Linked DNA regions of Canis lupus familiaris. The protein of the gene in region 2 interacts with the protein of the main gene of each other region in a pairwise test. Links are inferred from orthologs where the notes say so. Each region holds a gene or a part of one and is shown on either strand. Other genes may lie near its edges. The genes, in order: TMEM159 and CACFD1.

Region 1 (4,505 bases), on a different chromosome or scaffold from region 2:
TTATTCTGGATGGACTCTACCAGCAAAGACAGCTTCTTCTGCAGCTCCTGCAAGTCCTTTGAGGTACTCGGAGGATCCTCTTTTGCCATCCTGAAACCAATGCCCAGTCTCTTTAGAGATCAATTCTTCTATCAGTAAGCTGTCCCGGGCAGGGCACAGTTGAATCTCTCATGTCACCCAGTCTCTTGCTGTCACTGGTGAAACAAAAAGAATCTTGAACCATTAGTATAATATTCACCTAGCTAGTTCAACAAAAGCTTCTACTATCCTCACACATTGATGGTAGGTGTGCAGGTGAAGGGTAGCTTGGCAATATCAGAATTTCTAAGCACACATACCTTCAACAATGTATTTTTCAGTAATCTGAAGGAAATAATCAAATAGGTGTATCAAAACATACAAAAAGGATGTACAGTGCAATTCTATGTGTAATATATAATAAACAGCAAAACATTGGAAAGAAGCTGTGTATCAGTAGGAAATTGGTTAAATAATGATAAGTTCATAAGATGTATTACATAGTTGTTGATAATGTGGACATCTAGTTAGTGACATGAAAACACATTCATGATAAGTGAAAAAAATTTTTAAGATATCCTATATTGTTACATAAATATATGTATTTTATGTCTATATTCCATAGTAAAATAAAAGACCTAGAAGGATATAGATCATATAATACCTAAATGTTAATGGTATTATCTCTGGGGGCTTATTTTTTCAGTCTGACAAACTGCTACAAAGAATATAGAAGCAAGAAAGCTGAATACACTATTTCAAGCCCCTCATTGCCTCCCCCCACCCCCCACCAAAAACCTTTAACAGTGATGGTGGCCAACTTCTTTATTGACTACCCACACTAAACAGGTTGGCTTCCAACCTTATAGCACCATAAATCATTCTCTGTTGACTTGTAAGTGTCCTCTTAACAGGAGAGGTGTCTCAAGGGCAGACCTAGCCACAATTATACACTGTGACTCAACAGCCTTTAATTTCCAGGACTGTCCTAAGTCATGTGACTACAAAACCAATTTGTTTAAGATCTCTTTTTCAACCTTGTTGGATTTTAAATATCAACAAATATATCATTCTCATTTTTTATTTCCCAGAACTGTAGGGCTAGACACAATTTCACCCTTATAAATGACCTCCTTACTACTGATAGTAAAAAGAAAAAAAAGGGATGCCTGGGTGGCTCAGAGGTTGAGAACCTGCCTTCAGCCAAGCAAGTGATCCTGGGGTTCCAGGATCGAGTCCCATACCAGGCTCCCTGCATGGAGCCTGCTTCTACCCCCTCTGCCTGTGTCTCTGCCTCTTTCTGTCTCTCATGAATAAATAAAATCTTAAAAAAAAAAAAAAAGAAGAGCCTCAAGGATTCTGTTATAGTGATCAAAATTAACTAAGTGATGCTGACACCTGTTTACCATATTGACTTATACCACACGGTAATTATGTGAGTTAAGGGGAGAAAGTTACTTTACCAATACCTAGAGGGTCTAAAATGCAACTTAAAGTACGTTTTCGTCACTCCAGCTAGAGAGCCTTTCCTACAGCTCCGTTTGTGAAACAGGAAACCTTTGGATCTTTGAAGATCCAACTGGCACACATCTCGTATTTGGGATGTTCCCAGGACTCAGCTCTCCTACTCTCATCTCTGCAGCAGACAGAAACAAGCCCAGCTCCCATTACCGGTCTCCAGAGGTCTAGGGAACCCAAGGGCCACCCAGACCGGTTTGGGGAGTCCGATGGTAACGAGCATGGGTAGAATGTCATGGGCCACAGCCATCAAATACATCCACCTGGCTTCCAATCCCCAGCCACTCTACAGAGGGAACTCCCAGGCACTGAGAAGTCTCTGGAGCGGAGGGCAACCTGGGATCCCCAGCGCGGCTCACAAGTTCCTTGCCTTCTCCCGGGCCCTCCAGGCTGACCCAAAAGACCACTGGCCAATCCGACCCGCGGCTCTTGCATTCCAGCCCCTCCCAGAGTTAACGGCCAACCCCAGCGTTTCAGCTGGAAGGGAGAGGGGGTGCATCTCCGGTTGGGGGAAAGGAAAGCTGGGCGCCTCGGGCCGCCCCAGGCCGCCCCCTCCCCATCTGCTTACAGTCGGTCAACCCTCGAAGACGCTAGGTGGAGCAGGCGCCCAGCTTCTAGGGATCCTTGCGCAGAGGGGAAGAGAAAGAGAGGCAGGTGCAGACGGGGAGGGTCCGCACGCGAGAGAGCACAGAGGCTAAGAAAGGGGCGTTCACGGGGGAGTGGAGTACCCGGTCATTAATGTGGGGGAGAAGAATCCACCTTTGTTCCCTGGAGAGCCCCTCTCCGCGGTGTCGGTAGAGAAGAGAGACCTGCGGGAAGGAGGGCACCCATATTCATGAATCTCGGGGAGAGGGTTTGGAGACTCCCCCGCCAGGTTTCCCAAGAAGGGACAAGGTCTCGGGGGGTGGGGTGGGATGCGCTGGCAACCCTTTTACCAAATCTAGTGGTGGGTGTGAAGAAGTGCGTGTGTTCCCAGCCCGTCTTGGGGGCTCCGAAGGGTGAGACATTCCTTTTCACTAAACTGCGGACAGCGCAGGAGACCCTCTCAACCCATGCCCCCGAGCCGCTTCGTATGCCCCTCCCCGCGAGGTGACCTAGCCAGCCCGGGCACGTTGCACCCTAGCATCCGAGATGCGAATCTCACCGGTCCTGGCGGCCGCGCTGTCCAGCCAGGGTCTGCAGGCGGAGGCACAGAAGCGCGGTGGGGGGAGGAGGAAGAGGAGCAGGGAGAGACGTTAGAGGGAGGAACTCTAGTGCGCACAGGCGGGAGCTGGCGCCTGTTTCCTGCCCCACCCAGGCTGCCGCCGTCCTCCGCCCTCGCCCCGCCCCCTCACGTCCCTGGCCCCGCCCCTCCACGCCCTGACCACGCCCCCACCGCCCTGACCCCGCCCCCTCCAACGCTCTCGCCCTCCGGCCGCTCTCGCCCCGCCCCTTCCCCCGCCCCTCAGGGCTCGGCTCTCCCCGCCCACCTCCCGAGGAAGACCGCGAAGCTGCCGCGAGGCCTCCGGCCGCGAGCTCCACACAGCGCGCTCTCCGCCTCAGCATTTTACAACCACCCTGACAGGCCCTCAATAATATACAGCTGAGGAAAATGAGGCCTGCCCTACACTCTCGGCTTGGAGTGAGCGTGCACAGGCCACCGCCGAGACAGGTGCACTTGGCCTCTGAGCACGGCTTGCACAGCGTCTTAGGGCGTCCCCTGCCTAAATACCTACACCTGAACCACCTCTCCTGGAAGCAATCCTGGAGGCCAGGACATCCAGCGATGAGGTACGGCCTGACTGGCAAGTTTTAGCTACTACGACTCACGCAGGTGCCACGAACCAGCGAGAGCCATAAAGATGGGTTAGGTTATCATTTCCACGTTTTATAATTGAAAAAGTCTAAACCCAAGGCCCTTGGTTCCACGTCAGAGCCAGGCACATGTTCCCTGGCCCCAAATCCTGGCCCATAGAGTAGGGTTTCTCCAAGGGCAGCGCTATTGACATTTTGGGCAGGAAAATTTTGTACTGAGGGGGCATCCTTGTGCTGACTTTTTATCAGTGTCCCTGGCCTCGACCCACTAGATGCCAGTAGTAATCCCCTTCCTCCCACTTGTGACAACCAAAAAAATGTCCCCAAACATTGCCAAATATCCTGTGACAGGGCACAGTTTCTGTTAAGAACCACTGCCATAGAGGTACTGGTAAAGACCAGGGTCTGAGGGAGGGGGTTCCGACAGTCCTGGGCTCTCATCTCAGGGCTGGCTCTTACCGTGTGACCTTGGGTGAGTGACCTCTCTGGGCCTGGGCTTCATCTGTAAAATGACAGGCCTGAGCTTTGGCCTGCTACTGCAGAGTTCTCAGGCCTTATCCATCCAGGGACCTAGATGGACCTTCCTTTCCTCTGTGACCTGCAGCAATAGCAGCCTGGGAAACAGTCACAGGGTTTTAGTGAGGTCAGGTGCAAGAAGAGCTGTAAAGAAGTTAGTACCTATCTGGAGTATAGGAGGAACTCAAAAAGATTCGATGGTACAGTCTTCTACCAAATAGTATCTCTAGAAATAAACAGGCTGGTGGGTAAAGAAATAAACATGGGGGCAGTAATGATAAAAAGAAGCTACAGGATCCCATCTAACTTCACAACAGCCAAGAAAAGGGCAGCTAATGGTGGAAATAGGACATGGACAGGTAAGTATCCCTAAATTCTTAAGTTTCAGGCAATCCTACATGGCTTCATGCACTTTGTTCTGCTGCAGTATGGTGGATGCCCCACCTAAGAAAATGTTGACTTTTTTTTTTTTTTCCTTTAGAACAAAACATTACAACTGTCATTCCCTGGTGGGCATTGCTTTGAAAAGCTGAATTGGGGCCTTCCTTGGGATTTTTGTTCAAGGGTGCCATCTAGGGGTGCCTTTGTGAATCCTCTAATTCCCCTGACCACAGACCTCTGTCATTGTAGGGACAGCCAGATTTTGCTTTTTCCTTGTG
Region 2 (3,805 bases):
AAAATATTTGCAGGAAATATAACAAAGGATTAAAAAATCTTCACTGCAGGAAATGTAGGAACTTGCAACGTAAAACAGTAAGATGCCATTAATGAATGTCTCCCATTAATAGGTAAAAAGTAAATTAGACCATTTTCAAAAAAGAAAATGCAATTAGCAAAAACATTTGGAAGAACAGGTCAGTTCCTAAACAACGGACACAACTGTAAAACGGTGCATGGCCCCGGGAGGGTTTGGGCCATGGAGGTGGTGGAAATGCTGAAAACCTTTTTGGAAAGTAGCAGTCACGTACTGAAACCTTTTCAATGACTGTGCTCTCTGACTTCATAAGTGCATACCTGGAAACATATCTCAAGGAAAGCATCACAGAAAACGTGTTGGCACATCACTGTGTATTTGATTTGCACCACAGTTTGGAACTTAAGAAAAGCACGACGTCCACAGTGGAATGAGTATTCCCATCATTAAAAGTAACCTTATAAAGCCTTTGTGGTAGTACTGAAAGTGAGTGTTTATATCACGATATTAAGTGAAAAAAAGCAGGATACATATTTACTTAGGATGGAGCTAACTGTGTAAGAAACAGGTTTATTATTTTTTATTTTTTTAAGATTTTATTTATTCATGAAAGACACAGAGAGGCAGAGACACAGGCAGAGGGAGAAGGGGAGGCTCCCTGCAGGGAGCCTGATGTGGGACTCGATTCCAGCACCCTGGGATCATGACCTGAGCTGAAGGCAGATGCTCAACCACTGAGCCCCCCAGGTGTCCCAAGAAACAGGTTTAAAAGGCTCCCCATGCAGAAGTGGACAGAGACCTAAACGTTCCAAGCAATGGGGCTTTAATATTTTCCAAATCATTTTTAATGAATGTATATCTCTGTTAGTATTTTTAAAACACAGTTCTTAAAAATAAAGATCAAGGGCCCCCTGGGTGGCTCAGTGATTGAGCGTCGGCCTTCAGCCCAGGGCACAGTCCTGGAGTCCCAGACATCTTGAAATTGGTTCAACCTCATGACTCAGGTGGGCAGTGCTGTGTACCAAATCTGTTGTCAGAAGTGGGAAAATCAGGGGTGCCTCAACTGTTCAGCAGTTGAGCATCTGCTTTCGGCTCAGGGCATGATCCCAGGGTCCTGGGATCGAGTCCTGTATCGGGCTCCCCACAGGAAGCCTGCTTCTCTTTCTCTCTGTCTCTCATGGGTAAATAAATAAAATCTTGGGGAAAAAAAGAAGTGGGAAAATCAAAGGAAAGCCTATTGGAAGGTGACGGTTTCTGTTCTGCAACCTGCCCTCATGTCAGGGCACCTGTAAGGACAGTACTCTCTCCAAAGGCTGCCCACAGACGCGTCCTGTGGACCTACCAAGATGTACTTAACAACTCCTCGAGGCTGGGCCAGAGCTGCAGGCACACACTTCTCTCTGACGCAGCCCAGGGCAGGGCTCCCGCCCCTCACATCTGCAGCGCAGGTGACTGCAGCGCTGAGCTCACTCCCCGGCCGCTGCACCACTGGTCCCACTTCACAATGGCCACCATTGTGGCGCAGAGGACCCTGCACCAGGCTCACCCAGGCCCATCCTCACCAACAGCCCCGCATGCTGGCTGCTACCCATCGCCTGCCCTTGGGGTTCCTGAGTTTGGGGGTCAGCCTCCGAGCCGTCCCGGCCCCTGGGGCCCCTCACCCGCAGTAGAAGACAGCCTTCTGCCAGGAGCGCAGCCGGTCCACCTTCTCCGCCACGGTGTTCGCAAACTCAATGAACTGGCAGCAAAAGGGTGCCTCGCAGAGCAGCAGGATGAAGGCGTTCATGCTGGAGGGCAGGGAGAGAGGGTGGCAGGCTGACGGGCCTGGAGAGCAGGAGGTCCCCAATGGCCCCCCACGGCTCCTCTTGGGGCCTCTGCGGAACCGCTGCCCACATGCCAGCCTCCCTAACCAAACTGAATGCTCCAGAGGGAGATTCTGGTCTTCCCTTTATCCTCCTGTATTTGAAGGAGACAAGACCCCCTCCATCATGGCACTGCTGTCAGTAGCACTTTGCAGAGCGTGGACTGCCACTCAGCTACTAGCATGATCACTGCTGTCACCCACAGGGCCATCAGCCCTGGGAAAGCTGTCCGCAGCAGCGGCTCACCCACTGGGACAGCCCAGAGTGGGTCAGTCCGTCCACAGTCACTGAAGGCTGCCCCTCACAAAGCCCACGTAGGGAGGAGGGAGCTTAGCAAGCCCTTTTGTGCAGTATTCTTCCCCTGCCACCCCCTACCCCGGCCCGCCTTCCTATATTCGGGCTGGGAACAACTAGGGCGTGGGGACTGACTGAGGGTCTGCTCCAGTCTTCGTGTTCTCCACAGCTGGGTCACCGTCACAGACACTGGGCCCTCATGACCTACAGAGAATCAAGCTGAGGGTGCCCCAGGTGCCCACCTGAGCCCCAAGCAGGGACTCTGCACAGCCCACACTCGCCCTGGCTCTCCCTAGTCCTCCCAGCCCTTCCACACCCAGCCAGCCAGTCTCCTGACTCTACCCACTGACGCCTGGGCCCAGCGCCTTGACCCACCCCCATCCCTACTGCCTGTGGCCAGCACAGGCCTCTGGGCCCCACCACAGCAAGCCTCACCCCTGGCCTGAGTTCTCTGAGGGCAGGGCCCCCCGTCTATCTCTGTGCCCCTCCCCGGCCAAGTCCCATACGGGCACAGGCACTGCTTGGTGCACAGCCACTTGGCGCATGCGCTGGGTTGGTCAGATGCAGCCAGAGCTGCACTGGTCAGGGCTCACCCCTGCGTTCCCTTCCCACGGGATCGAGGTATCCTGACACGAGGTGGGCAGGGAATTCATCTAGGGCATTCTAACTACCTGGTCCCACACCAGCTCTGACCTGCCCTGTCTGTGGCTTGCCCACCTCCCAGCTGGAGCTCCTGATCCCAGCACCTGACTCCAACCCCACCAGACACCAAGCCTCCAACTCAGCCCTTGACTGGCTCTGATGGCTCCCAGAGCTCCCAGAGGCCAGGCCCATGGTAGTGGACATGGTGCCCGCAAAGACTGGCTCAGTGGGCACTCGGGAAATGTTTGTGACTCTGGCCCTACAATAAAGGCCTGGGTAGGAGCCTTCCAGGGCCCGGCCCTAATGAGAATCAGAAAAACCGAACATGGCAGGGTATGAAGGAGGTGAAGACCTGCCCGGCGACCAGAAATCCACATGCCCCAAACCCCACCGGGCAAGACAGTAGGTCACAAGGCTACTCACATCATCCACACGCCGGCCGCGATGTTCAGAGGGTGGATAGTGACGCAGTTGAAGAGGCCCGAGATGGCACAAGCTTGGAAGCGAGACAGGAGCAGGAATCAGCGGGGAAGAAGGGACAGAGCCTGCCAGGAAGGATTCCTTCCGACACCCAGCACTTGTTTCCCCCCCGCAGAACCCGCAAGCCTCCTCTCTGCCAGCGGACACAAGTGGGACCAATGTAACTGCCCCACACCCCAGGTGAGGATGCAGGCTCAGAGAGGTGAAGCAGCTTGCCCCAGGCCCCAGAGCAAGTGTGCGTGCAGCTGGAGGCTGGTGGGCTCAGAGGGCGTGTCACCCTCTGTCCAATCTACCACTGGGAGGGCTGGCCTCTGAACCCCAGCTGAACCCCTACCGACCTCAAGGTATTGAGGATGAAGAGAGAGAGGAGTCTAGGGGGTTCAGGTCAGGCAGGCACCACCACTCACAGGATTAGCCACATAAGAAGCCCTCTGATGCAGGAAACATGGATTGGATTTTGGTTGGGTCAAGGGCTGCCTTTCCTCTCTTGGAACAGAAATTGGGATCAG

The links.
Region 1: the proteins of CACFD1 (region 2) and TMEM159 interact in binary tests that used the Homo sapiens proteins (3 or more experiments, as listed by UniProt). The two-hybrid records come from large-scale screens. The link is inferred for Canis lupus familiaris from reciprocal best matches to the Homo sapiens genes CACFD1 and LDAF1.

The regions. Positions count from the first base shown.
Region 1 is NC_049227.1:24,499,111-24,503,615, forward strand, and holds the start of TMEM159 (lipid droplet assembly factor 1), read right to left. Parts: upstream 2,853-4,505; 5' UTR 2,681-2,852; intron 2,346-2,680; 5' UTR 2,296-2,345; exon of another isoform or gene 2,265-2,295; intron 1,923-2,264; exon of another isoform or gene 1,800-1,922; intron 195-1,799; 5' UTR 90-194; coding exon 1-89. UniProt on the Homo sapiens protein: Plays an important role in the formation of lipid droplets (LD) which are storage organelles at the center of lipid and energy homeostasis. In association with BSCL2/seipin, defines the sites of LD formation in the endoplasmic reticulum.
Region 2 is NC_049230.1:49,926,546-49,930,350, reverse strand, and holds part of CACFD1 (calcium channel flower homolog), read right to left. Parts: intron 3,313-3,805; coding exon 3,240-3,312; intron 1,806-3,239; coding exon 1,680-1,805; intron 1-1,679. UniProt on the Homo sapiens protein: Transmembrane protein which mediates synaptic endocytosis and fitness-based cell culling.